Callithrix jacchus: one gene and its partners. The protein of the gene in region 4 interacts with the protein of the main gene of each other region in a pairwise test. Links are inferred from orthologs where the notes say so. Each region holds a gene or a part of one and is shown on either strand. Other genes may lie near its edges. The genes, in order: CCDC185, LAGE3, MXI1, KRT40, SNAI1, RWDD2B and ZNF202.

Evidence for each region.
Region 1: the proteins of KRT40 (region 4) and CCDC185 interact in binary tests that used the Homo sapiens proteins (3 or more experiments, as listed by UniProt). The two-hybrid records come from large-scale screens. The link is inferred for Callithrix jacchus from reciprocal best matches to the Homo sapiens genes KRT40 and CCDC185.
Region 2: the proteins of KRT40 (region 4) and LAGE3 interact in binary tests that used the Homo sapiens proteins (3 or more experiments, as listed by UniProt). The two-hybrid records come from large-scale screens. The link is inferred for Callithrix jacchus from reciprocal best matches to the Homo sapiens genes KRT40 and LAGE3.
Region 3: the proteins of KRT40 (region 4) and MXI1 interact in binary tests that used the Homo sapiens proteins (3 or more experiments, as listed by UniProt). The two-hybrid records come from large-scale screens. The link is inferred for Callithrix jacchus from reciprocal best matches to the Homo sapiens genes KRT40 and MXI1.
Region 5: the proteins of KRT40 (region 4) and SNAI1 interact in binary tests that used the Homo sapiens proteins (3 or more experiments, as listed by UniProt). The two-hybrid records come from large-scale screens. The link is inferred for Callithrix jacchus from reciprocal best matches to the Homo sapiens genes KRT40 and SNAI1.
Region 6: the proteins of KRT40 (region 4) and RWDD2B interact in binary tests that used the Homo sapiens proteins (3 or more experiments, as listed by UniProt). The two-hybrid records come from large-scale screens. The link is inferred for Callithrix jacchus from reciprocal best matches to the Homo sapiens genes KRT40 and RWDD2B.
Region 7: the proteins of KRT40 (region 4) and ZNF202 interact in binary tests that used the Homo sapiens proteins (3 or more experiments, as listed by UniProt). The two-hybrid records come from large-scale screens. The link is inferred for Callithrix jacchus from reciprocal best matches to the Homo sapiens genes KRT40 and ZNF202.

Annotation. Positions count from the first base shown.
Region 1 is NC_133520.1:5,346,495-5,350,591, reverse strand, and holds the start of CCDC185 (coiled-coil domain-containing protein 185), read left to right. Parts: upstream 1-1,297; 5' UTR 1,298-1,325; coding exon 1,326-3,224; 3' UTR 3,225-4,097.
Region 2 is NC_133524.1:150,271,164-150,274,556, reverse strand, and holds LAGE3 (EKC/KEOPS complex subunit LAGE3), read left to right. Parts: upstream 1-1,435; 5' UTR 1,436-1,470; coding exon 1,471-1,658; intron 1,659-1,961; coding exon 1,962-2,090; intron 2,091-2,311; coding exon 2,312-2,426; 3' UTR 2,427-2,446; exon of another isoform or gene 2,447-2,700; 3' UTR 2,701-2,893; downstream 2,894-3,393. UniProt on the Homo sapiens protein: Component of the EKC/KEOPS complex that is required for the formation of a threonylcarbamoyl group on adenosine at position 37 (t(6)A37) in tRNAs that read codons beginning with adenine.
Region 3 is NC_133513.1:103,218,345-103,221,844, forward strand, and holds part of MXI1 (max-interacting protein 1), read left to right. Parts: intron 1-1,482; coding exon 1,483-1,597; intron 1,598-2,218; coding exon 2,219-2,390; intron 2,391-3,500. UniProt on the Homo sapiens protein: Transcriptional repressor. MXI1 binds with MAX to form a sequence-specific DNA-binding protein complex which recognizes the core sequence 5'-CAC[GA]TG-3'. MXI1 thus antagonizes MYC transcriptional activity by competing for MAX.
Region 4 is NC_133506.1:92,275,914-92,280,175, forward strand, and holds the start of KRT40 (keratin, type I cytoskeletal 40), read left to right. Parts: upstream 1-1,462; 5' UTR 1,463-1,503; coding exon 1,504-1,950; exon of another isoform or gene 1,951-2,645; coding exon 2,646-2,728; exon of another isoform or gene 2,729-3,359; coding exon 3,360-3,516; intron 3,517-4,262. UniProt on the Homo sapiens protein: May play a role in late hair differentiation.
Region 5 is NC_133506.1:45,529,566-45,532,878, forward strand, and holds the end of SNAI1 (zinc finger protein SNAI1), read left to right. Parts: intron 1-1,838; coding exon 1,839-2,023; 3' UTR 2,024-2,813; downstream 2,814-3,313. UniProt on the Homo sapiens protein: Involved in induction of the epithelial to mesenchymal transition (EMT), formation and maintenance of embryonic mesoderm, growth arrest, survival and cell migration.
Region 6 is NC_133522.1:35,080,590-35,084,826, reverse strand, and holds the start of RWDD2B (RWD domain-containing protein 2B), read left to right. Parts: upstream 1-1,437; 5' UTR 1,438-1,587; intron 1,588-4,237.
Region 7 is NC_133511.1:23,371,644-23,375,589, forward strand, and holds the start of ZNF202 (zinc finger protein 202), read right to left. Parts: upstream 2,801-3,946; 5' UTR 2,689-2,800; intron 1,667-2,688; 5' UTR 1,547-1,666; intron 1,366-1,546; 5' UTR 1,254-1,365; intron 1-1,253. UniProt on the Homo sapiens protein: Transcriptional repressor that binds to elements found predominantly in genes that participate in lipid metabolism.

The DNA of each region.
Region 1 (4,097 bases), on a different chromosome or scaffold from region 4:
TTAGCATGGCACCAAAATAGTATTTATTGAATGTATTCTGGTGCCAACCTCTGGATGCACAATTTCACCTGAGCTTCACAACAGTCCTGTAATGCTGGTATCATCAGGCCCCTCTTCCCACTCCACCTTGCTGGAACTGGAGGTGGGGAAGCTTAGGGAATTTGCCCAATAAAGTGAAGAGTGGTGGAGGAAATTCAAATTCATTTTCTCTACCAAATCCAGTGCTTTTCCCATTAGCCAAGGGTGCCTCAACAAGAAACAAGAATCCCACAAAACTGGAGGAAAAGGGCAAAAAATAATGTGATTTCAGCATGGTGTTCATTGATGCTATTGCAAAAATGTGCATGTGGCATTCATATTTTGACTATAGCAGTAATTACCACATTAGGGAATAGAGTCATCTCCTTCCTGTTCTAAAAATCTTAAAATATAAACATTAAAGCATACTTTGGGCTTGCTAACTTAAAACGGCAAAAGGGTGGTGTCGCTTTGTGTGTGTGTGTGTGTGTGTGTGTGTGTGTGTGTGGCCCTCGGCCCACTGCAACCTCCATCTCCCGGGTTCAAGTGATTCCCCTACCTCCGGCTTCGAAGTAGCTGGGACTACAGGCACCTGCCGCCACGCCTGGCTAATTTTTGTATTTTTAGTAGAGACAGAGTTTCGCCATATTGGCCAAGCTGGCCTCGAACTCCTGACCTTGTGATCCACCTGCCTTGGCCTCCCAAAATGCTGGGATTACAGGTGTGAGCCACCGTGCCCGGCCTGGTGTCGGGTATTAATATGCGTCCAAGCCTTTCTATTTGAGCACACTGCAGAGGTACACACATGGCGGACGGTGATTCTGCAGCTAAGGGTACCTCCTCCCTGAAACTGTGCCTCGGCCTTTCTACCCACCCCTTCCATTCTGAGGGTGACGCCTTCACCTGGGCTGTCTTAAAATCCTGCTATTTTTGTGCAAATGCGAGTTCAAACTTCTGCCTCAAACACTGGTGGGGGGACACTATGCACCTGCAGCTTTAAATGTCACCCTGATTTCCTACAGACCCCCTCCTCCAATCTGCAACCCCTCTCTCCCCCACCCCACCCCCACCCCCACCCCCATCCTCAGCCTCCTGTCCTTCCCATTCTAGGTTGCTAGCAAGGCTGGGGTGGGCGGCACCGGGCCAAGGCTGAGGACTGCGGGGACCCAGCTACCAAGCGCATTGTGAAGTGGCTGGAACGTCACAGGCGACCTAGACCTCGGGACCGGGGGGCGGGGCCGGTGTCTGCAGCGTCCTATGAAGGTCTCAGGCCCCTTGCGCAGACGCTGCGCGTGCCCAGAGGGAGGATGGCAGGCTTCGGTCACTCCTCCCCGCGGCTCTACCTGGACCTCTGGGAACCCCCACGGCCGGGCGAAGAGCAAGAGACCAAGCAGCGGCTGGGCAGGCAGAGGTCCAGAGCCGGCCCTGCCGCTTGCTCCCGGGCCGGGACTCTGGGTGCGGAGAGCGAGGATGGGGGGCCCTGGCTGCACCCGCACTGTTCGTTCACCCCACGCCCTCGCAGACGCGAGTGCCCAGACTCACCACGGGGCAGCCGAAGCCTGAGCGACGTGACCTGCAGGCCACTGGACCGAGCCAGGAAGCACGGGCCTCGCAGCAGGCGCCTGGAAGATGCCTGGGGAGAGGCAGGAACCAAGCCCCGCCAGGCCTGGCAGCCGCAAACCCAGCTGCTAGGCCAACGACAGCAGCCCTGCCCGCATTACCCTCTGGCCCAGGGAGACTCGCCCCCGCCTTACCCCGGAGAAGCTGGTACTCCCCTGAGTGGCACATTCAGGATAGAAAAGGCACAGGGTGGAGACCAGTGGGCAGTGCCGCTCAGCAGACGTCTAGGTCGCTGGTCCCCTTCCTTAGTTCTCTCAGAGCGGTCTTCTGTGCCCTCCCAAAAGTTCAGGCCACACTCGGCCTGCATGTGCACACAGAAGAGAGACAGCAGCGACCAGGTTGAGTCATTAGCCAGCCAGGACTTCCAGCCCTCGGCCTCCAGCAAAGAGAGGCGGAGCCCGCACACCCAGGTGTTGAAGAACAAGCTGGAAGAAGCAGTGATGTCCTCCCAGGACCAGCGGATTGTGGCCCTGGTGCTGATCCGGCTCAAGAAGGCCCAACGGATGCGGGAGCTGCAGCAGCAGGCGGCTGAGGCCTGGGAGGAGCTGAAGCGTTCAGATCAGAAAGTCCAGATGACCCTGGAGCAGGAGCGCCAGCAGCTGCTGCAGCAGAGCCAGGAACAGTGGCAGCAGGAAAAGGAGCAGCGCAAGACCCTCCCGGGACATGAGCAGCGCGGCCAGCGGCGGGACAGCCAGGGGAAGAACGTGCCCCCTGGGGAAAGCTGGTGGAAGGAGCAACCGGAGGACCAGGAGAACCTGTGCCAGGAGAAGCTGGAGAAGGCGCGCGCCCAGGCAGAGCACCAAAAGCAGTGCCAGGTGCGGTGCCTGCGGGAGCAGGAGAGGATGCCGCGGAACATGAGGGAGCAGCACAGCCTGCAGCTGCAGAGGAGGCTGGTGGAGACCTGTCGCAAGAGGCACCTGCATGCCGCAGAGGGCCAGAAGAAGGTCCAGGACACCAACCTGAGCTCCCTCATCAATTACCAGGCCCGGAAGGTCCTCATGGACTGCCAGGCAAAGGCCGAGGAGCTCCTTAGGCAGCTGTCCCTGGAGCAAGGTTTCCAGAGGTCCCAAGAGATACACCAGGGCCTGATGAAGGAGCGGCACCGTGAGATGAGAGAGAAGGCCCAGAAGGAGGAGGAGCAGTTGCAGCAGGCCAAGTGGCGCGCGGGGGAGTCCGGGGAGCAGAGGAAGATGCACAAAAGGATTCTGGTGGAGCTGGCAGATGAGAAGATCCGGCAGGCCAGGAGTCATGTGCACAAGACCGCCAGGGACAAGGTGCAGCGCCTCCGGGAGCTCAACCACCTGCGTGAGAAGAACCACCACATCCTGAAACTGAAAGCCGAGAAGGAGGAAAAGTGCCACATTGAGGGCATCAAGGAAGCCATTAAGAAAAAGGAGCAGAGGGTGCGGCACATTACCCCAGGGAAAGACTCAAACTTACAGGAGTTCCGGAAGCTCCCGCAGGCCTCCAGGAGAGAGAACAGAGGAGCAAGGAGCAACAGCTCCCTTGATCAGATAGAACTAGAGGCCCGCTCCCTGCCTGTCGGCAGAATGGGCGCCACTGAGAGCCAAGGACGCCAGGCTTAGAGGGAGCAGCCAGAAGGAGATGTGGCAATGTGATTCCTTTTATAATCTGATTACAATTGAACATTGATTTTTAAAAAGCATATAAAATTGCTGCAATTTCCTCTCATGAACTGGTTTATTGATTCACTTGGATAGTTTAGAGGGTTGGGGAGAAAATTTTGGGAATTTTTATGAAAATAATGTGGCTTTGTGAATTTTGATTTGAATAGAAAATACTCACTTAGCTCTCGAGTAATCTTAGAAACACATAATGGGCACATTTTGGAGATACCAGAGAAAAATCTCTAGTCAGGGATACAGTTCTGTGGTATGTCTTAAGTCTCTTCCAGTCCCAGAACTTATGGAAGGGTAAAGTATAAAGTACCTGTCATATGAAATCTCCAAGATAAAAAGAAAGTTTAAAAAGTGAGAAGTGGGAGGATTCCTGTGAACAAGCAGATTTGGGAGCCCTGCATACTGTGTCCTCTCTTGGGAGTTCATAATGCAATTTAAAATGTTAACGGCTCTGAAAAAGCATCAGTAAAGAAACGGATTTGTTTAATGTAGTGTTTTTCACAAATTATAGAGCGCCCCCCCCCTTTATTTTCTCAGATAATTTCATGGAATTGATGTTCTGTGAAACATTTTTGGAAACGGCCCTCTATAGTTTTTACCTGATTGTCAACTTCTCTGGCCTTCCCTCCCTGTGTTAATAGGAAGTGTTTATAACTCCAACAGCTCTATATCTTGACTATTCCACCATAGCTACACCATCTGATATGGTTTGGCAGTGTCCCCACCCAAATCTCATCCTGAGTTGTAGGTCCCATAATTCCCATGTGTTGTGGGAGGGGCCCTGGGAGATAGCTGAATCATGGGGGTGGGGGTTTCCCC
Region 2 (3,393 bases), on a different chromosome or scaffold from region 4:
TTATTTTTGGCCAGGTGCGGTGTTGCGTGCCTGTAGTCCCAGCTACTCGGGAGGCTGAGGCTGAAGGATCGCTTGAGCCCAGGAGTTCTGGGCTGTAGTGCACTATGCTGATCGGGTGTCCGCACTAAGTTGAGCATAAATAGGGTGACCTCCCGGGAACGGGGAACCACCAGGTCGCCTAAGGAGGGGTGAACCGGCCCAGGTTGGAAATGGAGCAGGTCAAATCCAGTGCTGATCAGTAGTATTGCACCTGTGGATAGCTACTGCACTCCAGTCTGGACAACATAGTGAGACCCCGTTTCTAAAAAAAAAAAAAGAAAAGAAAGAAAAGAAAAGTTACTTTTGTATTTGTTGTAGAGATGTGGTCTCACTATGTTGCCCATGTTGGTCTTGAACTCCTGGGCTTAAGTGATCCTCCTCCCTTGGCCTTCCAAAGTGCTGGGATTACAGGCGGGAGCCACTTAGCCTGCCCTAAAGTGGCATTTTCTTTCTTTTTTTTTTGTAGAGACGGGATTTCTCCATGTTGGCCAGGCTGGTCTCGAACTACCGACCTGAGGTGATTCCCCCACCTCCGCCTCACAAAGTGCTGGCATTACAGGCGTGAGCCACCGCGCCCGGCCTAAAGTGGCATTTTCATACTCATAGTTGTGCAGTCTGATTTTCCACGTTATATGAGACCTAGGCACAGCGCCAATACTTGCGTTCAAGGCCGTCATATTTCGCCTCAGTGCAGGCGTTCTGCTGACAGGCTCCCGCTCCGCACAGCGCCCCCACCCCGCTCTAAAATGCCTCCTCTAAAATGTAAATCCGACTCTTTACCGTCCACTGTGAAGCCCCCTCGGTTGGACCATGGGGTCGTGGGCAAGAGCAGTATCCTTGTGGGGGGGTATCAGACCCCGCCACCGTCCCTCCGCGAGTCGCTGCATGCACGTTAGTGCCACATCTCCGGGGGATATTGGGTACCGGTAAGAAACAGGGCGGGAAGCGCCCAGACACCCTCGGGCCTCACTAGGGCCTCACTAGGGCCTGCCCGGCCGAGGCCACAGGCCCTAGACGGCGCAGGCGCGCTGCGGTCACAAGGCGCAGTTAGGGGCGGAGCCTTGCAGGGTGCGCCTCTGGGCTAGGCGACCACGGGGTCTTCAAAACCCCGTCAGGGCTGGCTTCCTGGGGCCTGACTGACTGTGGGTCACTTTGCACTGACGGCCTGGGATCGAGTTACGCGCGAAGGGACAGAGTTTCTGGAGGAGACCGCGGCCTCTTAACCGCTGACTCGGTCTCAGAAGGCACCCGGCAGGGCCGCTTGGCGGGAACTGACCACGCGCCAGGCAGGCTTCCCAAGAACGAGTGCCGGCGCGTGTGGGCGGAGTCGGGCGCAGGGGGCGGGGATTCGGGAAAGGGACCGGGAGAGAGGGCGGGGCGTGGGGGCCTGCGCCTCGGGGGTGGAGTCCGAGCTGCGTGGCGGCGGAGGTCATGCGGTGCGCGAATGCACACGCTGGCGCAGGCACAATTGGCAGGGATGGCCAGGGTGGCCACAGCTGCCCCAGGGGCACGGACACAGCGGGAGCTCCGGCTGACGAACCTTCCCCACCGCACCCGCCAGGTCCTGGCAGAGACGCCGCATCTGCGGCCAGGGGTTCAGGAATACGGCCGCACATATTGTATTCTTTCCAAGGGGAGGTCGGGAACAGACTGGCGGCTGCCTGCGCCGGGGCGAGGGCTGGATTCGGGGAGGAAGAAAGGAGGGCGGGCGGCGACCGGGGTAGACGAGCAGGGGTGCTCGGAGGAGGGGAAGAAATAGAAATGGAAGGAGAGAAGCCCTGCCAGCGGTGGCCTGGGCCACGTGAGGAGTAAAGCGAATGACTCTAGGTAGGGTGACCTGAGGGGGGGCTTCAGAGGATCAAGAAGGCCTGAGACATAGGCAAAGTCGTATCAGATGGCACCTTAACCGAATGCCCCCCCAGCACCCTTAGTGTGCCTTTCCCGACCCCCTTGGAGGCGGAAATCGCGCATGGGTCCCTGGCTCCAGATGCCGAGCCCCACCAAAGGGTGATTGGGAAGGATCTCACAGTGAGCGGCAGGATCCTGACCGTGTAAGTTCTGAAAGGGGCTGGAGTTGGGGGAGGCAACCGATGGAGACGTAGGGGGCACCCATGGATGAACCCTAAGGAGCGCCAGGTGCGCCGGGCCGGTCTCCACCTGAGGGGCTGTCTCATGGGCTCCCGAGGCTTTGCTGTAATGGGTGCCTGAGCGGCAGAGTGACGGACCAGGAGTTGTCACCTCCAATTTTATTTTCTTTATCCCTCACTTTTAGCCGCTGGAAAGCTGAAGACTGTCGCCTGCTCCGAATTTCCGTCATCAACTTTCTCGACCAGCTTTCCCTGGTGCTGCGGACCATGCAGCGCTTTGGGCCCCCCGTTCCCCGCTAAGCCTGGCCTGGGAAAATGGGGTGAGGTCTAATATTGCGTCTCCCTAGGTAGGGCACCCAGCTTTCCCTAGGGCAGGAGTTCCCACAGTTGCTATTTTCCTGTGAAAGCCTCATGGTCGGCCTGTACTGGCCCGTGGGTGCTCAGGGGCCCCTTGTTTGATCTGGTTCTTAAATGTTTGTTACCACAGAAAATAAAACTGAGCTACTGTTCCAAGTCTGAGTTTATTTCAGCTACAGCACCTCCCAATATTCTAGTCATTGTGCTTCGGTTACAGGGGAGGTTCTAGAATCCAGATATTCAAGGAAATTGAAGACAATTTAGGAAATGGAAGAAAATGAAAATCAGCTGGGCTCTCATTCAGCATCAACTACTGTCAACATTTTGGAATCCTTCCTTATAGTTACATTTATTACAGTTGTTTTCCCCTGAAGTTAATAGTAATAAACGTGTAACTGTAATATACAGCATATAATTTTTGCAAGTTTAGCGTTAATTTTTTTTCCTGAATTTTAAATCTAACATGAGCTTCTTTCCTCTAACAGTGAAGAAAGTGCTGGGTCAACTGACTAGTGTTTGGGGAAGGAGTTGGCTCCCTGTAAATACACTAAACTCAGTCTTAGGACTCTTTTGTAGATTCAATTGGATTTTCTGAGAGTGGAAATAAAGAGGTACAACTGCGTATCCTCAGAAAACATGGAAACGGTTTGATCCTTTTTAGTCTTTCTCTGAAGATGTGCTGCATGGGACTGGAGCAGCTCTTATGGTAGACTTCAGTTTCCCGGCTATGGAGGCAACAAACACCATTCAGGGCACCCTGGCCAATGCTGCCCAGGTGAATATGAGCTTCTGTATCCTGGTGGGTGGGGACAGCTGCTAGTCCCTGTCCTGCTTGCATACTGGAGTCACCTTTCTTCCTTTCCTGCTGGGGTGATGTCTTTCCCTGGCCTTGGGTAGCTTCCTCACATGC
Region 3 (3,500 bases), on a different chromosome or scaffold from region 4:
AGAATCCATGGATATACTTTTAATTGAGGGATTCCTTTATCCACATTAGTTATGTCAGGTTTCAGCCTGGACCCAATTATTAGACTTGAGGTATTGAACTCAATCAAGAAATTTGGAATGGAAATACTGTCAGACCTTTAACTATAGTTGGGTTAGTAGGTGCTGAAAGAATCTTAACAATTCATCAGCCAAACCTCTGACCTCACTACCCTTAATCATCCTTGCTTGTCATGACATAATTGGCTGCTTATTGCCTTCTCCTACCCTCTTTCAAATTCCTAGCCTTTGAGCATTTCACTTGACATTATTTCTTGTCTTTTAAGACAGAGAAAGTGCATAGTTTGGTGTGTGAATTAGCAAAACCATTTTGGTCCTCTTTCAGAAGAAAATGGAGGGTGTGTATTTTGTTCTTGATGCAGTTAAGACAGTTACTAAAAGTTTGATTATAGGTCTTTAAGGAGTTAGGGGTAAACTGTGAACATATTTGTGAATTTTCTGTTCAGATACACTGTTAACTGCTGAATTATTCCTTGTGAAAGATGTAGAGTAGTATTGTTTTAGGATGAAGTTAAATACTGAGAACTCTCTCGTCACTATGATCATAGTTCTTTTAGGGCACAGGAAAGGTAAATCCAGGAGGTTGAGGAGAAATTTCCTTCAACTTTCCCACAGGAAGGGTAGATTAGAGAATGCAATGAATTTCAGTAAAGAATTTTTGTCACCTGTTGTCCTTGTCGACTGGAGGCAGGTGGAGAGAGAAGAGAAAAATAAATATTAAGCTAATAAGCTAGTACAGTTAAGAGGCAGGGGATTATTTTATGAGTTATTTCTGTGCCTAGAGTTGACCATAGGGCATATATTTTGTCTAACCCTACCCTAGCTGGCCACAACAGAATTTTGCTGTTTCTGTGGAGTATAAGAAATCACCATTTTTATAAGTGAAAAATGGGTGAATATCAGAAATTTCATATGGTTCAACCTAATATACAACAAATGTAACACTGTAGGATGGCTACAGTTGTAGAGAGGTAGGTTGTGTATGTGTGTGTTGTGTGTGCAAGTAAAAGGTAGGAGGGAGGAAATAGAAACTTAAGAGCATTTTATACTCCCTTGAGGTACTACAGCTGAAAACCCCTCCTCTTGCCTATGGTTTTATTCAAGATTAAATTGTCCTGGTATGTTTACACACTTCCATATTAATATAGTTGAGACAGTTTATGGGGTGAGTTAAAAAATAAACCATCTTGACAGAGATTACCATTGGGGATAATAATCTAAAGTGACTGTTGTCTACAGAGTACAACAGAAATAGCAGACTGAAATGCAGCCACCCCCTACACTTGCGGATTCTTCGAAAGTGGAGAATTAGGGGTGTAACATCCACCCTATAGGCTGAATAAATGCAAATTATTTATCTGAAAATAGGTTTTATGATATTTCTAGTGGAATATCCAGATTGTGTTGACTTTTTGTCTTTCTTAGACGAGCTCATCTGCGCCTTTGTTTAGAACGCTTAAAAGTTCTGATTCCACTAGGACCAGACTGCACCAGGCACACAACACTTGGTTTGCTCAACAAAGCCAAAGCACACATCAAGGTGAGAATTTTTACTTTCAGATTTGCATAATTCACTCAGTTCTGGTTTAATTATTGGCAGTGATTCCTATTCATATACATCAGCTAGTTCACCATGCCCTCCTTAATAAATGACCTCAAGAGAAATCTTTCTAAAAACTTATCAGCTAATCTGATGGGAACAACATAACCTGATTAAACTGTTTTGACAACGTGGCCATTTGAAGAGCTGGGAACACCAGGAAAATAACAATTACCTTCTTCATACTCAGAAGGAAGGCAGTTGTGCCCTCTGGTGGAGATGACTTCATTTGGCTGTGTCCTTCAGTATTTTTCCATCAAATACCACACAGAGGAAGTTTCTCCGTGGAGATTAGTTTACAGGCTTTTAGAAGTCCATCTTGTTCAAGTAGCATAGCATGCATTACGTACACAGAAAAGGAAAAGACAGAACTATATTTTATTTTTAAAAATATGTATTTATATACATTCACATTTTGGAGGCTTTAAACAATGTGTATATTTTACACACACACACACACACAATTTGTGTATATTCATTCATGTTTTCTCTGCCAAAGAAGGAATCAGTTTTATTGTTTGTACTGGACTATACACAAATGTAAATACCATTTCATTTCAGAAACTTGAAGAAGCTGAAAGGAAGAGCCAGCACCAGCTCGAGAACTTGGAACGAGAACAGAGATTTTTAAAGCGGCGACTGGAACAGCTGCAGGGTCCTCAGGAGATGGAACGAATACGAATGGACAGCATTGGATCAACTATTTCTTCAGATCGTTCTGATTCAGAGCGAGGTAGGCAGCTTGCCTCTTCTATAATGGAATACTAAATACCTCTGTATCTGGAGATATAATGAAATACTAAATATCTCTGTAGGTGGTATGTTGGGAGGCACTGTATTTACTTTCTTTCTAGCCAACTGTAATATTCTAGGTTTTATGCAATCATAATATTGTCTAGCAGTGCCAGTGTGGACTATAAAACTGTTTTTTTGAATACATATATATACACACACACACACACACATATATATGTATGTATATGTGTGTATATATATGTGTGTGTGTGTGTGTGTATATATATATGATGCAGTTAAGACAGTTACTAAAAGTTCAATTACAGGTCTTTAAGGAGTAGGGGTAAACTGTGAACATATTTGTGGATTTTCTGTTCAGATACACTGTTAACTGCTGAATTATGCCTTGTGAAAGATGTGGAGTAGTATTGTTTTTAAGATGAAGTTGAATACTCAGAACTCGCTCATCACTATGATCATAGTTCTTTCAGGGCACAGGGAAGGTAAATCCATGAGGTTGAGGAGAAATTTCCCTCAAAATGTTTATTTTTTTAACTTTCTATTTTGAGATAATTTCGGACTTACAGAAAATTTTAAGTTTCCTATAGAAAATTATAGAGTTCTCATGTAACTCTTCACCCAGCTTCTCCTAAAATTAACATCTTATATAACCACAATACAATTATTGAAACCGGCAAATTAACATTGATAGAGTACTATTAAGTAATCTACAGATTCTATTCAAATTTTACCAGTTTCCCCACCAACATACTTTGTCTGGTCTAGGATCCTATGCAGGATCCCACATTGCATTATAGTTCCTTGGTCTTTCTTTCCTGACAATAACACTTTTGAATAGTGGTCAATTGTGTTATACAATGTCCCTCAATTTGGGTTTGTCTGATGTTTTCAAATGATTAGATTGCGTGTATACATTTGGGCAAGGAATGTCACGGAAATGATGTTGTGCCCTTCTCAATCCATTTTGTCAGGAAGATACATGATGTCAATGTTTTTATTACTGGTGAAGTGAATTTTTATATGTAGAGTTCAAAAAATACCACATCCTTAATTTCTCTCTCCATCTATCCTAAAATATTTGTCTTTG
Region 4 (4,262 bases):
AAAGATCGTTTTCTTTCAGAGAGTTGTGATTTTTTTGAAAGTGTTTTTGAATCCTTGAACTTGTGTTTGTTGCAAAGCAGCATCAGCATACCATGAAGCACTCTAAAAACTTTTCTCATAAGTGTTGATGTGTAAAGAGAATCACTAAATTCAAACTCAACTCTGCCCAGGGAGTAAGAGACTATTTTAACTCACTTACATATGTTCTCTGGCTTGGTTTGGTTTGGTTTCTCTTCTCAGCTACCCAGGAAGCAGCACTCAAGATTAGGAGAAGAAATAAGTTTATTTTGGATCATAAATTTTTTAACTTTTTCAGATTAATGTGTTTTTTTCCTATAATGTTCTTAAAAATTCTAGAGGCAATTTTCTCTGTGCACCTTTGAAAATGAAATACATGTCATGACTAACGCTAAGCAAAGTGAAATAGATTGTACTTCATAACGGAGGTGAAATTCAAGAGAGAATCCAAAAAAGTCACACATCTCAAGCTCCTATCTGTCAGATTTGGCATCAGAGATTTCAACCAGTGGAATTAGTCATTTGGAACCTGAATAGAATTTTATTTCCCAAGTTCCAGTATGTTTATACATCTCAGAAGCAAAGACTCCTGTGGGTTCCTCCCTCTTTTCTGAAGTATAATCACTGAGGAATTCCCAAGGGACTAAAAGATTATAACTTAGAAAATTTATATTTCACTCTTATTAGGAATACAGGTAAAATTGTATGACTTATCTAAAAATAAGAAGTGTGGAGAAGGCAAGTTTCAGGAAGTCAAAGATCATAATTCCAGCTCTAACCAATATATATTTTAACTTACAGGAAACAAGTTATTCCTATCAGTTGTGTAAAGAGACTTTTCCATTTGTATGCAGGTAGACATGGTTTGTACACACACACACACACTCACACTCTTTAAACCCAGTATATACCTCACTTCTCCAGTCCTGTCAGCACATGCTCTAAGATCACAAAAAGCACTGGAAGATTGCTAACCACACTGACCATTTTTATAGTGGTGGACAAACAAATGAATGTCCTTTTATGAGCCGTAATACTAATTTTAAAGAAGACACAAGCAATCAATGCACAGAATCAAAATCTGTGGGAATATTAATTTCCTGATTTGTAATGAGTTGTATCTATAATTATTGATTGGCCAAATGTTCTCTTTCTTTTCTTATTCTGTCAAAAAGACAATGCTTCCTATGATGATTTTCTGAAATAAGTGTTTTGTCTTGCACATGGAAATGGTGTGGGCCCTGCTTTGGTAACCTAAAGTTATCCCCCTTTTATGAGGCATACAACTCTTCTTCAGTAAATAAACAACTCTAATGAGATGTTTGTATAAAAACCGGCACCATCAATGATGACGAAAACATCCGGTGCAGTCTGTAAACACCCATTTTGAGGGGGCGCTATATAAAACTCTCAGGAGGGAAGGAGTGTTTTGGAGTCAAGGCAACTGGTGTTTTGCAGCCAGTCTCTGTCTTTGCTTCTAGAAGGATGTCTTCTGACTGCTCCTCCACGCTCTGCTCTCCTGAGTCCTGTACCAGGGCTTCCTGTTGTGCACCTGCCTCAAGCTGTTCCATGGAGACAGCTTGTCTCCCCGGTTCCTGTGCTGCATCCCGATGTCAGACCCCTAGCTCCCTTTCCAGGTCTCTCGGGCTGACCGGTTGCCTCCTGCCATGCTACTTTACTGGGAGTTGTAGTAGTCCCTGCTTGGTGGGGAACTGTGCCTGGTGTGAGGATGGAGTGTTCACTAGCAATGAGAAGGAGACGATGCAGTTCCTGAATGACAGACTCGCCAACTATCTGGAGAAGGTGCGCAGCCTGGAGGAGACCAATGCAGAGCTGGAATCCAGGATCCAAGAGCAATGTGAACAGGATATCCCACTGGCATGTCCCGATTATCAGTGTTACTTCAACACCATTGAAGATCTCCAACAAAAGGTGCATGTCCTGTTGCCCTAGTGCTCCAGCTTCTCGATCTATGGTTTGCTTTATCTTTCTACTAGAAGGTGCTGTTTTACAGAAGGAAACCAAGAGAAAGGAGAGTTCTACAAGTTAATGGTACATAGGGAAGAGCACTGTGCTGGAAGTCGGGAAACCTCAGTCCCACCCCTAAAGCTACCCCTGATTACTGAGTAACTATAACAAAGTAACTTGTCTGTGGACTTTTCCTTCGTCATCTATAGAATGCAAAAAGACTGTGTTATATCCAAAATCGCTTTTGTATGTGACACTGAACATTTATATTATCTGAACACAGATCATGAAATGCCATCTTTTTAACCACCTAGTCATTTTCTTCTCTCCCTGATGAATTTCCATTATGGGAGAGGGTATAGTCATAATACAAACTACTGATGGAGAAAAACGTTAATGGCGTTCCACTGCCTAGGAATAGTGCAAAATGTCTTATGTTATGAGAAAAAGTGAACCTTTTTATGTCTCTATTTTGTTTCTGAATTGGCACTGCTTGTTTGCTTCATCAAGTGACACGGTGAATACGGAAAGCAGCTAACGGCCATTTTACACTTTCTTATAAAGACTTTCAAAGGATAACTAATGGCATAGCTGTTGGATAGTAGTTTATTTAGGTTTCTCTCAAAGAATACTTTATTAAATAAGGACTTTCTTCACAGATCTTATGCACGAAGGCAGAGAATTCTAGACTTGCTGTACAGCTTGACAACTGCAAACTGGCCACTGAGGATTTTAAGTCAAAGTGAGTTGAATTTTATTTAATTTATTTATTTTGAGGTGGAGTTTCCCTCGTTGCTCAGGCTGGAGTGCAGTGGCACTATCATGGTTCACTGCAACCTCCGCCTCCTGCGTTTGAGCGAGTCTCCTGCCTCAGTCTCCCAGGTAGCTGCGATTACAGACAGGCATGTGCTGCCATGCCCAGCTAATTTTTGTATTTTTAGTAGAGAAGAGGTTTCACCATGCTGGCCAGAATGGTCTCAAACTCCTGACCTTAGGTGATCTGCCTGCCTTGGCCTCCCAAAGTGCTGGGATTACAGGCATGAGCCACCACACCCAGGCTTAATTTTATTTTGAAAATAATTTATGGCGCTCTCTCTCTCTCTCTCTCTCTCTCTCTCTCACACACACACACACACACACACACACACAAACACACACACACTCTCTCTCTCTCTCACACACACACACAAATATTCTCTATATAATATCTTAAAGTTAAGAATGTCTTAAAAGCTTGAATTTATCATTACTCAGGAATTAAGAGAAATTCTGCATGTGGCTTCCTGAAATTCATATGTCGATCCTCCATGTATCCTCACACTTTGCACAGCATTCAACAGAATAAGTGTTGGATTTCTCTTTTGCTGTGAAAGGTACGACAGTGAACTGTCCCTTCGCCAGCTGTTACAGGCTGACATCAGCGGCCTGCATGGAATCCTGGATGAGCTGACCTTGTGCAAATCCGACCTGGAGGCCCATGTGGAGTCTCTGAAGGAAGATCTTCTTTGCCTTAAGAAAACCCATGAAGAGGTAAGGAAAGTGGCAACTCCGTTGAAGGACTCCAAGAGTGACATAGTTACACTGACAGATGATCTGTTGATGTTTGTGAATAGAACTAGGGCAGATGTTGCTTAAGCTAGACTAAAACTGCTCAAGGCATTATTACTGCTCAGCCTGATCATTCCAGTGTGTCTCTGAATTAAGATGTGAAATACCCCTGGCCAGTGCCAGACGAAGAAATCAAACTCTTCTCCTGCCCCTGCCTTTGTGGAGAAGGTGAATAACTCCACAAATGGCTTTCCTTGGAGGTTTTATGCCACTCCTAATTCCAATCCACCGGCTATAAAAATCAGGCTGAGAAACAGACTGTGAAGGCCATTTCAAAAAGAGAGAAAGACCCGTGCACTATCTGGACCAGTGTTTTTAAATATTCCACATTTATAAACTTTTAAAACTCATAAAATATAAAGCAATTGATATATTAATAAAGCTAGAAAATGAAAAGCTGAATGACGTAACAAATTACTTTGCTCTTTGAACATTTTTTGATGGCAATCATAGCTAACATTCATCGAGAACTTACTATGTGCCAGGACATTTATAAGTTAATTATATGTAGATTAATTCTTCTAGATCTCACAATAACCTTTGGGAGAAATGTCCAATTATTATGCCCATTTTACAGATGAAGCAACTGAGACCCTTGTAAGTGGTGAAAAGAGATTCAGCCTAGGCAATCTGAATAAAAATCTCACACTTTTACCCACTACTCCAAA
Region 5 (3,313 bases), about 47 Mb from region 4:
TCCTTTCTCTTTTGTTCGTGTGTGTGCCATCACACTTAAAGCACTTACTGTGCAGGAGGCAGTGCTCAGGCTCACCACAGCCCTGGGAAGGGGGTACCATCATAACCCGCCCAGTCTTACGAATGGACTCCAGCCCCTTTACCAGATCTCCAGAGTCAGCCCTTAGTTCACAAGTGAGAACTTAACTTTCTCTTTCACATGAAGACTCAGAATGCAATCAACAAACCCTGCAGGCCCAACGTGCGGAGTAATGGCAGAGTGGAGTAGTATGCTCTCCCAGCCATCCCCTCCCCCATCCCCTAGGTCCCCCACCCTGTGGAGTGGTACATTTCCAGAGACTGAGCCCAGCTCTCAGGCTCTCCGTAGGTCCCTGTTGAATGTATAGGTCCCATTGGAAGCATCCTCTGGACTCCCTCCTACCCTGCTAGCTCAGTGAAGCACCCTAGGTACCCAGGAGTTGATGGAATTAATTCACTCCCAGCTCTTAAATTTCATCCAGCACTGGGATTTAACAGCCAGCCCTGGCCTTAGGGCATATCGGACTGGGTGTGAAGGGATAGGAGAATTGCATATTTTTTAAAAAGACTGTTCAGTATTATAGAATAGTGTGTAGCACATAGTAGGAGCTCAATAATTTAAAAAAAATTTTATAGACAGGGTCTTTCTTTGTTGCCCAGGCTGGTCTCAAACTCCTGGCTTCAATCAATTCTCCTGCCTCACTCGGCCTCCCAGAGTGATGGGATTACAGGCATGAGCCACCACACCTGGCCTCCATAGGTTTCTGTTTAAAGAGTAACTATTATTACTTTTTGTTTGGAAAATGCTGTGTCCCCAAAAAAAGACAAAACAACCTGATTGGTGTTTTTGGAACTGTAGGCTTTTGGTTGGAGCAGAGATTGTGATGAGGCACGAGTAAGGGGCAGGCTCCTCTGAGGCCTTTTTATTTTTAAGAATACTTATTTCTTCTCTAAGGGCTTATTGAGGACTGAGTTCCCAACACAGCCTTAGCCAGGCAGTTGGTGTGTCATGGGCACTGGTTTCTGTAGCCTCTTGGGTGGTAGAAAGGGGCCCAGGCCCTGGGCTGGGCTTAAATGGACTCAGGGAAGCCCCTGCCCTTATGGGATTCGGCCTCATTGGAGAACAGACAAGGAGATTTGGGATTTCGGCACAGGAGGTGGGGTGGTGAGCAAAGCAGGATGCTGGCCGGGCCCGGGGGTGGCCTAACCACCTTGCAGTGGGGGTGGGGAGGCCTAGTAAGGCTGACTCTAGCTTTGGCCCCCAACAAAATAAATCAAGGAGTGACTCCAGGACCACAAGGCACACCAGCCACATCGTCCGTTGACTGAAGGCAGTAAGGACAGTGGGTGAAATCAGAGGCTTTGGGGTCCTGCCAGGGGACCCTGAACATGCTACTTCTGGGCCTCGGTTTCACCCTCTCTGAAATGAGGACCACTGTAGGATTGAGTGACAGTAGGACCAATCAGTAAAAGTGTGCAGTCATCATTGCACCCCTTCCCACGTTCCTGCAGGATGATGAGTGCTGTACCCCATCTCCTGCCACTTACCGACCCCTATGAGTGGGGAGCGAATAGCCCCATTTTACAGGTGGAAGATGCAGGCTCAGAGAAGCCAGACAGCTTGCCTGGGGTTGTACCGTGGGAAGCAGCAGAGCTCTGTCAGGTCCTGGCCTTTGGAGCCTGGATGCTCGTTTCACTGTGGCCTGGCTTTCCTGGGATCATGGGATTCTTTCAGGTTTTGGGGCACGTGGGGAGGGATTCCCATCGCTGCCAGCTGTTGTCCCACGGCTCACTCAGCCTTTCTGGCCATTCTCTCCCCAGGCGAGAAGCCCTTCTCCTGTCCCCACTGCAGCCGTGCCTTTGCCGACCGCTCCAACCTGCGGGCCCACCTCCAGACCCACTCGGACGTCAAGAAGTACCAGTGCCAGGCATGCGCTCGGACCTTCTCCCGAATGTCCCTGCTCCACAAGCACCAAGAGTCCGGCTGCTCAGGATGCCCTCGCTGACCCTCTAGGCTCCCTCTTCCTCTCCTTACCAGCCCCTCCCTGACAGCCTCCCCGCAGTTCCAGCGGGAAGGGCCCAGGTCCTTCTCACTGAATTCCCTCCTGAGCACCCCACTTCTGGCTGCCTCAGCCCCACAGGACTTTGATGAAGGCCATTTTCTGGTTCTGTTTCCTCTGCCTGGGTCCCTCAGTGGGCTCTGGAAGAGGCCTGCCCGTGGCAACTTCTGTGGAGGGAGGGCAGCTGGCAGCCCCAGGCCGGGGGCTGTCCTGAGCTGGCCTTTCTGCGTGGGTTTTTGTATCCAGAGCTGTTTGGATACAGCTGCTTTGAGCTACGGGATGAAAGCGGACTCCTACCCCACTCAGGGGACCCTACTCCCCTCACCCCCACCCCACAAGGAACCCTCAGACCACCCTCCATGAGGTGTGACTGACTATGCAATAATCCACCCCCAGGTGCAGCCCCGGGGCCTGCGGAGGTGGTGGCAGACTGCTATTTCAACCTCCTGTTTGGCGGGGTGGCACCTGTTCCCGGGCAATTTAACAATGTCTCAAAAGGGACTGTGAGTAATGGCTGTCACTTGTCGGGGGCCTGAGTGGGGTGCTCTGGTCTGACCCATGTGTCTCCCAGAACTATTTTGGGTGCCTGACAGGTGGGCCTGGGAGGAAGATGTTTACATTTTTAAAGGTACACTGGTATTTATATTTCAAGCATTTTGTATCAAGGAAACGTTTTGTATAGTTATATATGCAGTTTATTGATATTCAATAAAGCAGTTAATTTATATATTAAAAAGTTTCTTTGTAATAGAGGGGTGGGTGTTTTGAAAGGTCTTTGGTAAGGGAGAAGGGGACAGGAATTCCTGAAGCTTAGATATTCTGACACAGCCTTAAAACTTGTCCTTGGGAAACTCACAGGGCTTTGGAGTCCTGGGTGACACTGTCAGGGACCTTATGAGATGGGTTTTCCCCTTGGCCCGGGTGTCTTGCCTGCTGGCATGTGGGTGAGCCGCCAGCGTCCACATGAGCTCTTCACTATACACTGTGGCTCTTGTTTCCTTTCTTGAATTTTGAAGCTGATCTGACCCTCGGGGTGCAAAGCTGGCTTCCTGGGTCTTACCAGCTAGGCAGGCTGCAAAGCTCTGTCCCAGCACTGCAGGTCTTTTGGGGTGGGATTGCCCGTTTCCCCTAGATGTGAGTAGAATTTGACCAAGGAAACAGAGGATGTCCTTCCTGTTTCCAAGGGCTCCGGGCCCCTCGGGCCTCCGTGTCAGCCCCACACCTCTGTCTTGTTGC
Region 6 (4,237 bases), on a different chromosome or scaffold from region 4:
AAAAAAAAAAAAAAAAAAGAAGAAAAGAAAACAGATAGATTGATGAGATATGTGACAAAGCTGGTAGATTAAATTCTATACCTCCAGGTCAGTGTTTTTCAACCTCAACACTATCAACATTTTGGACCAGCAAATTCGTAGTTGTTGGGGGATGTCCTGTTCATTGTAGGAAGTTGAGCAGCATCCCTGGGCTCTACCTACCTCATACCAATAGCATCCTTCCAGTTGTGACTACCCAAAATGTCTTCAGACACTGCTAAATCCTTCCTTCCCCTTCTCTTGAGATCTGCTCCACGGTAAAATTCTCTCGACTTTGCTTAACACTTGAATTTTTTCCATAATGTTGGAGGAAAAAATAAATGGTGACATTGAAAAACGCTTATGAAACACCGTGCAGATGTAGTTTATGAAGACCTACATACTAGCATCTATTTGTTTTTAAAAAGGGGTGGGGAAGAGCTAGCAGTGATATCTAGTATTGCTGAATAAGATTTGCAAATCTTATCTATGACATTTCTCAAATGAATATTAGAAGCATATTGCATATAGTTGGATTGGGAAGAAAAACATTTCCAATTACTCTCCTGTCAGCATCTTCCTACAAACTATCCTTTTATTAACAGGGATAAATAAATAAGCATTCACACAGATCCTCCCAGCTTGGTTACTGGGCAAGAACACATAAGATAGACAAGGCTACCTGCATCTGGGCTCCCATCTCCCTAACTGCCCTTCTCCTCCATGGTTCAGGGACAAGGAGGATCACCATGGTGTGGGAAGATATTAGACATGCAGAATTTAGAACCCTACCCCTACCTACGGAACCCTGATCTGCATTTCAACAGAATCCCCAAACTATTCCTAGGCACCTTGGAGTTTGAGGAGCATTAACGGACCAATACCTTATCCCTGAAAAGTGCCCGCTATACGACAGTGACAGCCACTGTGAAATGAAAACGGGGCTGGCATGTAGCGGTATTAGCCGGGCGTGATGGCTCAGGCCCGTAATCCTAGCACTTTGGGGGGCCGAGGCAGACGGATCACCGGAGGTTAGGGGTTCGAGACCAGCCTGACCAACATGGTGAAACCTCGTCTCTACTAAAAAATACAAAAATTATCTGGGCATGGTGGTGCGCGCCTGTAATCCCAGCTACTCAGGAGGCTGAGGCAGGAGAATCGTTTGAACCGGGAGGCGGAGGCTACGGTGAGCCGAGATCGCGCCACTGCACACCAGCCTGCGCTACAGAGCGAGACTCCGTCTCAAAAAAAAAAAAAAAAAAAGAAGAAGAAGAAGGAGAAAACTGCAACTGAGCAGGGACAAAGCATTCCCTCCGTCCTTCCAACTCCAGAGACAAACACTGGCGGACACCGCGCCAGACAGGCCAGCACCAGCTTCCGGCCCGCGGTCTTGCGCGCGCATGCGCCAGCCGAGGGCGCGCCCTCTTTTCCAGCGGGTCGTCGACTGAGGCGGTTTGTAAGTTTGGGGTCGCAGTATGCTAGAATTTTGAGGTTCCCTCCTGATAAAAATTGAGCTGTCCGTCCAGCCAAGGAACCCGGAGTACAGCAGTGAAGGGGCCACGGCTCAAGGTAAGTCTCGCTTCAGCTAGCGCCAGTGGTGAGTGCCACAGGGCTTTCCCACGCTGCAACTCTTTCCGAAATTGTTTGACAGGGTGCGCATGCGCCCATCGGTGGGCTCGGCTTTTGGCCTTGGCTCCCCGCTGCAGCAGGGGACCTCGCCCAAGGCACAGTCTGAGTGCGGGGGCGGCTGCATGCTGGGCATTCTTCCTGAGAGCATCGCGGCTTGAGTTGCGGAGTACTGTATTCTGTTCTTCAAAACAAATCTGCAAGGAAAATAAATTATTCCACGCAGAAATCTCAAGTTTCAGTCTACGTTCTCTTAAATATATTTTATTTTATTTATTTATTATCTTTTTTTGAGACAGAGTCTCACTCCGTCACCAGGTGCCAGACTGGAGTGCAGTGGCACAATCTTGGCTCACTGCAACCTCCGCCTCCCGGGTTCAAGCAATTCTCCTGCCTCAGCCTCCCGAGTAATTGGGACTACAGGAGCGCGCTACCACGCCCAGCTAATTTTTTTGTTATTTTTAGTAGAGGCCGGGTTTCACCATGTTGGCCAGGATGGTCTCGATCTCTTGACCTCGTGATCCGCCCGCCTCGGCCTCCCAAAGTGCTGGGATTACAGGCGTAAGCCACTGCACCTGGCCTTGAATATATTTTATTTTAAAAAAATAGTTAGGCGCGAGGTCTCCCTATGTTACCCAGGCTGGTCTTGAACTCATGGGCTCAAACGATCCCTCTTCCTCTGCCTCCCAAAATGCTAGGATTACAGGCGTGAGCCACCGCATCCGGCCACAGTCTATTTTCTTAAAACATTCGTTGAAATCTTGAGTCATAAAATTATCTTGAGGGTTTTCTGGAAGTACTTAAATCTCTTCAGCGAAAATAATTTGGCAGATAAATGACTTGTGACGTCACTCCCCTACTTGTCCATTCAAGTGTCCCTGCATCGCGTACTACTTTGCTAATTCCAACTTCGATATCCCAAATTCAGTAGGACCTTCTCCCAACTTTACTTACTCGGGAGACTTTTAAACAAATACGTAGGTCTAAATAAGTGTTGACTCCCAAAATTATATCTCCAGCTGAGTCTCATACACTCCAAAATTGTATGTCTAACTGCCTGCTAGACATCTCTATTTAACAGGTGTCTTAGTAGGCACTTCATTACTTGCGTCTAAAACCAAGCTTCATATCCCCGTGAGCATCACAGTCTAAATAAATTGCAGATCCATGCTTCCGGTAGCTTAAAGCCTTGGAGTCATTGTTACACGTCTCATATAATTCATCGGTAAATACTGTTGCCTCTGCTCTTTCCATATATCCAGAAGCTGAAGCTTACTGTCTTGACCACTATAATCCTATCCAAGCCACCATCCTCTCTCCCTAGTTATTGCAGTGTCTCTCTTGTCACCCCACTTTTCCCTTCACTATTCTCCATAGCAGCAAGTGTGTTTAAGTCAGACCTCTCAGGGTGGCTCTTAGGTGTCAGGATAAAATTCAGAATTCTGGCCATGCTGTAGTAGTCCCAACATAAACTGCTCCACATTTCCTTACTAAACTCTTCTGTCCCCTGTTTCCAGCTCACTCTGCCCTGGCCAGCTGCTCTAGCACCCGCCTGCCTCAAGGCCTTTGAACATGCCCTTTCCCTCGAACACTCTTGGCCAAGAAAAACACAGGGCCTTTTTTTTCAGTTCCTTGAAGTCTTCACTACAGTCCCCTTAGGAGAAAGGTCTTTCCTGACAACCCCATGTGCAGTCTCACCTTTTGCTGCCCCATTGTTTCCCTTTAACTTGTTTTCTTCCTCAGACTTTTTCATAATGGTTATTCACTGGGCATATAAATACTTTTTTTTTTTTTTTTGAGACAATCTCAGTCTGTTGCTCAGGCTGGAGTGCAGTTGGTGTGATCTTAGCTCACTGCAGCCTCCACCTCCCCAGTTCAAGTGAGTCTCCTGCCTCAGCCTCCTGAGTAGCTGGGACTACAGACGTGCTTCACTGCACTTGGCTAATTTTTGTATTTTCAGCAGAGACAGTGTTTCACAATGTTGGCCAGGCTGGTCTCAAACTCCTGACCGCAGGTGATCTGCCCACCTCATCCTCCCAAAGTGCCAGGATTACAGGCATAAGCCACAGCACCTTGACTGGGCATATAAATTATGTTTTTTTGATGTCACGGTATCCTTCCACAGGTAGAGCTGTTTTGTTACTTTCATTCATTGTTATCTTAGTGCCAATGCTTGAACATAAGAAGTGCTTGAGAAACATTTGTTGAAATGATGATTGATAATAATAATGGTAACAAGCAGCCCAACACAGTGGCTCATGCCTGTAATCCCAGCACTTTGGGAGGCTGAGGCAGGTAGATCACCTGAGGTCAGGAGTTCGAGACTAGCCTGGCCAATATGGTGAAACCCTGTCTCTACTAAAAATACAATAATAAGCTTGGCGTGGTGGTGCACACCTGTAATCCCAGCTACTCAGGAGGCTGAGGTGGGAGAATCAGGTGAACCCAGGAAGCGGAGGTTGTAGTGAGCCGAGATCGTGCCACTGCACTCTGGCTAGACCCGGTCTCAAAAAAAAAAAATTTTTTTTTTAATTAATAATTATAATAGTAGCAAGCACTTATTTAAAATTTACTCTAGTAAATAGTAGCAAGC
Region 7 (3,946 bases), on a different chromosome or scaffold from region 4:
TCCCTGCCTGCTGAACCAGAGGAATCTGAGGAGTACCAGGTTCCCACTGAAGACCAAATCATGACCCAAAGAAGTAATCCCAGAAGTCATTCTTGCTGTGGGCATGGCTTAGTGTCCGTCTCCTCACTGTGGGCCCTGCCCTCAAGAGCAAGGATCTCCTTATTCATTTTTATATTCCCAGTGCCTACCACTTTGTCAAGCCCTTAGTAGAAAAGGTGCCCAATAAATGCATGTTGAGTTTAATTTAGCTTTCTATTTCTCCTTCCCCAACTTGTATATATTCTAGAAACACTGAAAATTCAGAAATCGGCAGGGCTCCTGGGTAATAAACCGTTCACAGGGATAGCTGCAGGAATTTGGCATTAGCATTCATTCCAATCTCTTGGGGTAATCAGGTGGCATAAGCATAACCTGCTTTACTGTATAGCATAAGGTCAGGGGAGAAAAAGTTCAAGAGGGGAGAAAGACAAGGGATGGAGATCAACCCACAAGTATCTACTGAGCATCAATTGTATCCCACACTATTCAAGGCGCTGGGCAGAGAAAGACAAAAAAAGCAGAAGGTCTGACCTTAAGGAACTTAACAGGTAGTTAAGAAATAGCAGGATTTTAGCAATACTAGGAATTCACAGCAAAAGCCCAGAATACAGGTGTAATTTATATGATCAAAAAGTGATGTCCCTATCAAGAGAATTAAGAAAACCAACGGGAAGAACTCATCAATATTTCACCTCAAATTTAGCATATAGTACTCAGTTAAGTACACGTTCTTAATTTTACGAACAAAATATTCAGACCTAGGTGATTAAATTATCCACAAAAGATCAGATTACTAGTTTCCAACACAGAAGTGCTCAAACAAGGGTCTTCTGAACCCCAACCTACTGCAAGGTGATACTACATTTGGCCAAAAGGTAGTTGTTCTCAAAGTGAAGAACCCAGATCTGCAGCATCAGTACCTGAGCCTTGTTAGAAGTACACATTCTCAAGCCCAGCACAGACCTATTACCAGAAACTCTAGGGGAGGGCCTCAGCAGTATGTGTTTAACAAGTCCTTCAGGTGCTTATAGTAAGTTTGAGAACCATCACCTGAAGCAAACGAACTAAATCTGAAGTTCATGCGGAAAGCCATTGTTGGCTACATTAAAGGGTTTGCTGGTGAGAGAACAGTAAAAGCAAGGGGTCTAGAACTGTTTCACATTTTAAATCTGTGCCAAATTAACTGGGGAAAAAAATGTAAATCTGTAACTTACCTCATCTGTACAATTTGTAATGGCTGAGTCCCTCACATTGTAGTAAACCTTGTTGTACCCTTGGAATGACTGTCTACTGCAATATACTATAAAGAGTACAAAAAGTGTATAGCTGGAGGAAAAAGGGTGAAAGATTATGAATCCCAGGTGTTTGGTCCTAGGAGGAAAAATGCCTGTCCTCTCTCCAACCCTGCCCACCCTCTTATGCTACATAGTAACAGCAGAAAGTTCTCCAAGACTGCTCCGCGTTCCCACGCTTCCCACCAACAAGCCTCTCACGGCTATCCCACAACCTTTCTGAAGTAGCTTCCTGGATCAAGCCCCACGGGGCAGCTTAGAAGAGAAGCTGGGAGGGATGAGAGGCTCCACTAGTTTTCCTTGTGGCTTCTGAGTGTAGCTGCCCTGGGTGTCACCTGCAGAGCGTGGATAGAGAAAAAAAACAACAGTTCTAAGCCCAGCCTCTAAGGGAGAGCCTGGGATACGGCGCTGCTCCCCAGGATCAAGGTGGTTCAAGAAAGGCTGGGTCTAAGAGTCTCCCTCTGGGGAGGTCAGTACAGATTCCAAGGCAGACAGGATTATCAAAGCGCCTAGGCGATAAGAACATTCATTGTTCAGAAAAACAAAAATTAAACTGACAGCTTTCTGAAAGAACACAGCCTATCCAGGGCACGCAAACTAACAAAGTTTAAATCAAGACAGACAAGAAGCAGGTATACTCCTGCTAAAAGTAATGCTAGTGCTGGGAAGAGGTGCCAAAACTGGCTGTTAGGAGTGGGAGAGGAAAGTTGCAAGTGGAGACAGCAGCTACTGGCTTGAGGGGAAGCTCAAGAGTCTGTCACAGTGGTAGCTGAAAAGCCACTGGCCAGATGGACGCCAAGGACTACTATCATCACAGGTGATAAGATCACGGGTGAGTGTATCCGAGTGTGTGCGAGGGGAATGAAGGGAGCTTGGGGGTGTAAGGAGATAGGGCTCGCCGGGGCAAGGAACCCGCGGAGATGATCTTAAGCAATCTGAGAGTCGGGGTGAAAAAAGGCTGAGGAAAATAAAGGGGCCTAGACCACTCCTCCCTCTGTTCCGGGGGGACAGTGGCGCGGAAGCGATGGGAGGTACGAGGTACGGACTAACTACATTTCTGCAGGCCCCAGGAGGGGGCGGAGGGCGGTGGCTGGAAAGGGAAGGAAGCCAGGAGCGCCATCCGCGTCCCCGGAGACACTGGCTCTCGCCACCAGGAAACACAGAGGCCACAACGTCTCGGTCCCCTCAGTACACCGCCGCCGCCCCTTCCCCAGGACACGGTGATTTCCCCAGGCTCTCGGGGGGCGGGGTCTCCGGTCCCTCCCCCTCCTCCCCGCCCTGCCCTGCCCGGCTCTGCCCGATCTGGTCCGGCCCGGTCCAGCCCGGCCCGGCCCAGCCCAGGCCCCTCAGCACTCACGGCTCCGACAGCTCCGGCGGCTCCTCCCCTGCCCCGGCTTCTCTCCCACCCACTCCCGATCGAAACAGCGCCGCCGGATCCGAGCCGCGCGGGGCCTAGCGGGTCGGAACACGTGGGGCCTTTGCGCCCGGAACCGGAAGAGAACGCTAGCCCCGCCTTCTCGCCGCGCTGGAGCCTTTCTAGGCTGTGGGAGGTTTGGTCCTCTCCGCTCTCCGCGGGTTGCGGTTCGGGTGTTCGCCAAAGACCCAGTGCAAAGAAGCTTTGGACCCCACGGCTTCCCTTTGCGACCAACCCTACTCTGCAGCGAATAAGTTAATATCTTAGGCTTTTCATTTATACGTATACCTTCTGCAAGATTCTTCTTTTTGTTTTCTGTTTTTAGTCTTTTGTGTGATTGTTTTGGATACATCGATGTGTTTTTCTTGATATTTTCTTTGCATTGTCTGCGGCAGCATGGTAGAAAAGGGCAGCGTTAGGTTTGAATACTGGCTCTTGCATCCACCATCAGCATCAGGGCCTCGGCCCAGTATCTCCCATCTCTGAACCCTAGTGTGCATCATATTGTGACATGGTAATTGCCCCATAAACTGCATACCTCGACCATACTTCGGCTTTGCATGGAAACTGCTCTCTGTAACCCCAATGTGATAGGCAAGCAGTCCAAACCCACGCCATCTTGGCCCCTGTGACTTGTAATAAGTAACTAAGGTCTGTAATTTCCACCCTACCCAGGCGATGTGTAAACTAACGCTTATCTTGATTTCTGTGAACCACTTAAGTAACAATCGGAGTGTCCAAAGTCCCCTGGCCCTCGGAATGTCCAGAGCCCCTCACCCTCACCCCCACCCAGGAGGTGGTTTATGGACTGTCCAAAGTCCACTGGCCCTCAGAATGTCCAAAGCCCCTCGCCCTCACCCCCGCCCGGGAGGTGGTTTGCGGAATTCCAAAGTCCACTGGCCTTCAGAATGTCCGAAGCCCCTCACCCTCACCCCTGCCCAGGAGGTGGTTAACGGGCATAAAAGGTCTTGACACCCTTCTTTTGGGGCCACGGGTTAGAGAGACCCAAGTCCTCCGTGGCCGCCTGCAATAAAGACCCTGTAATTTGGCCTAGTCTTTGTCTCAGTGGTGATTTCCCGCTCTCTCGGTTACAACAATATAAAATGGGCATAATAATACCTTTACTGTGAGGACTAAATGAGACATTGCTCATGAACTGATTGGAACATCAGAAGCTCAGAGAATAGTATTGTTATTTCTT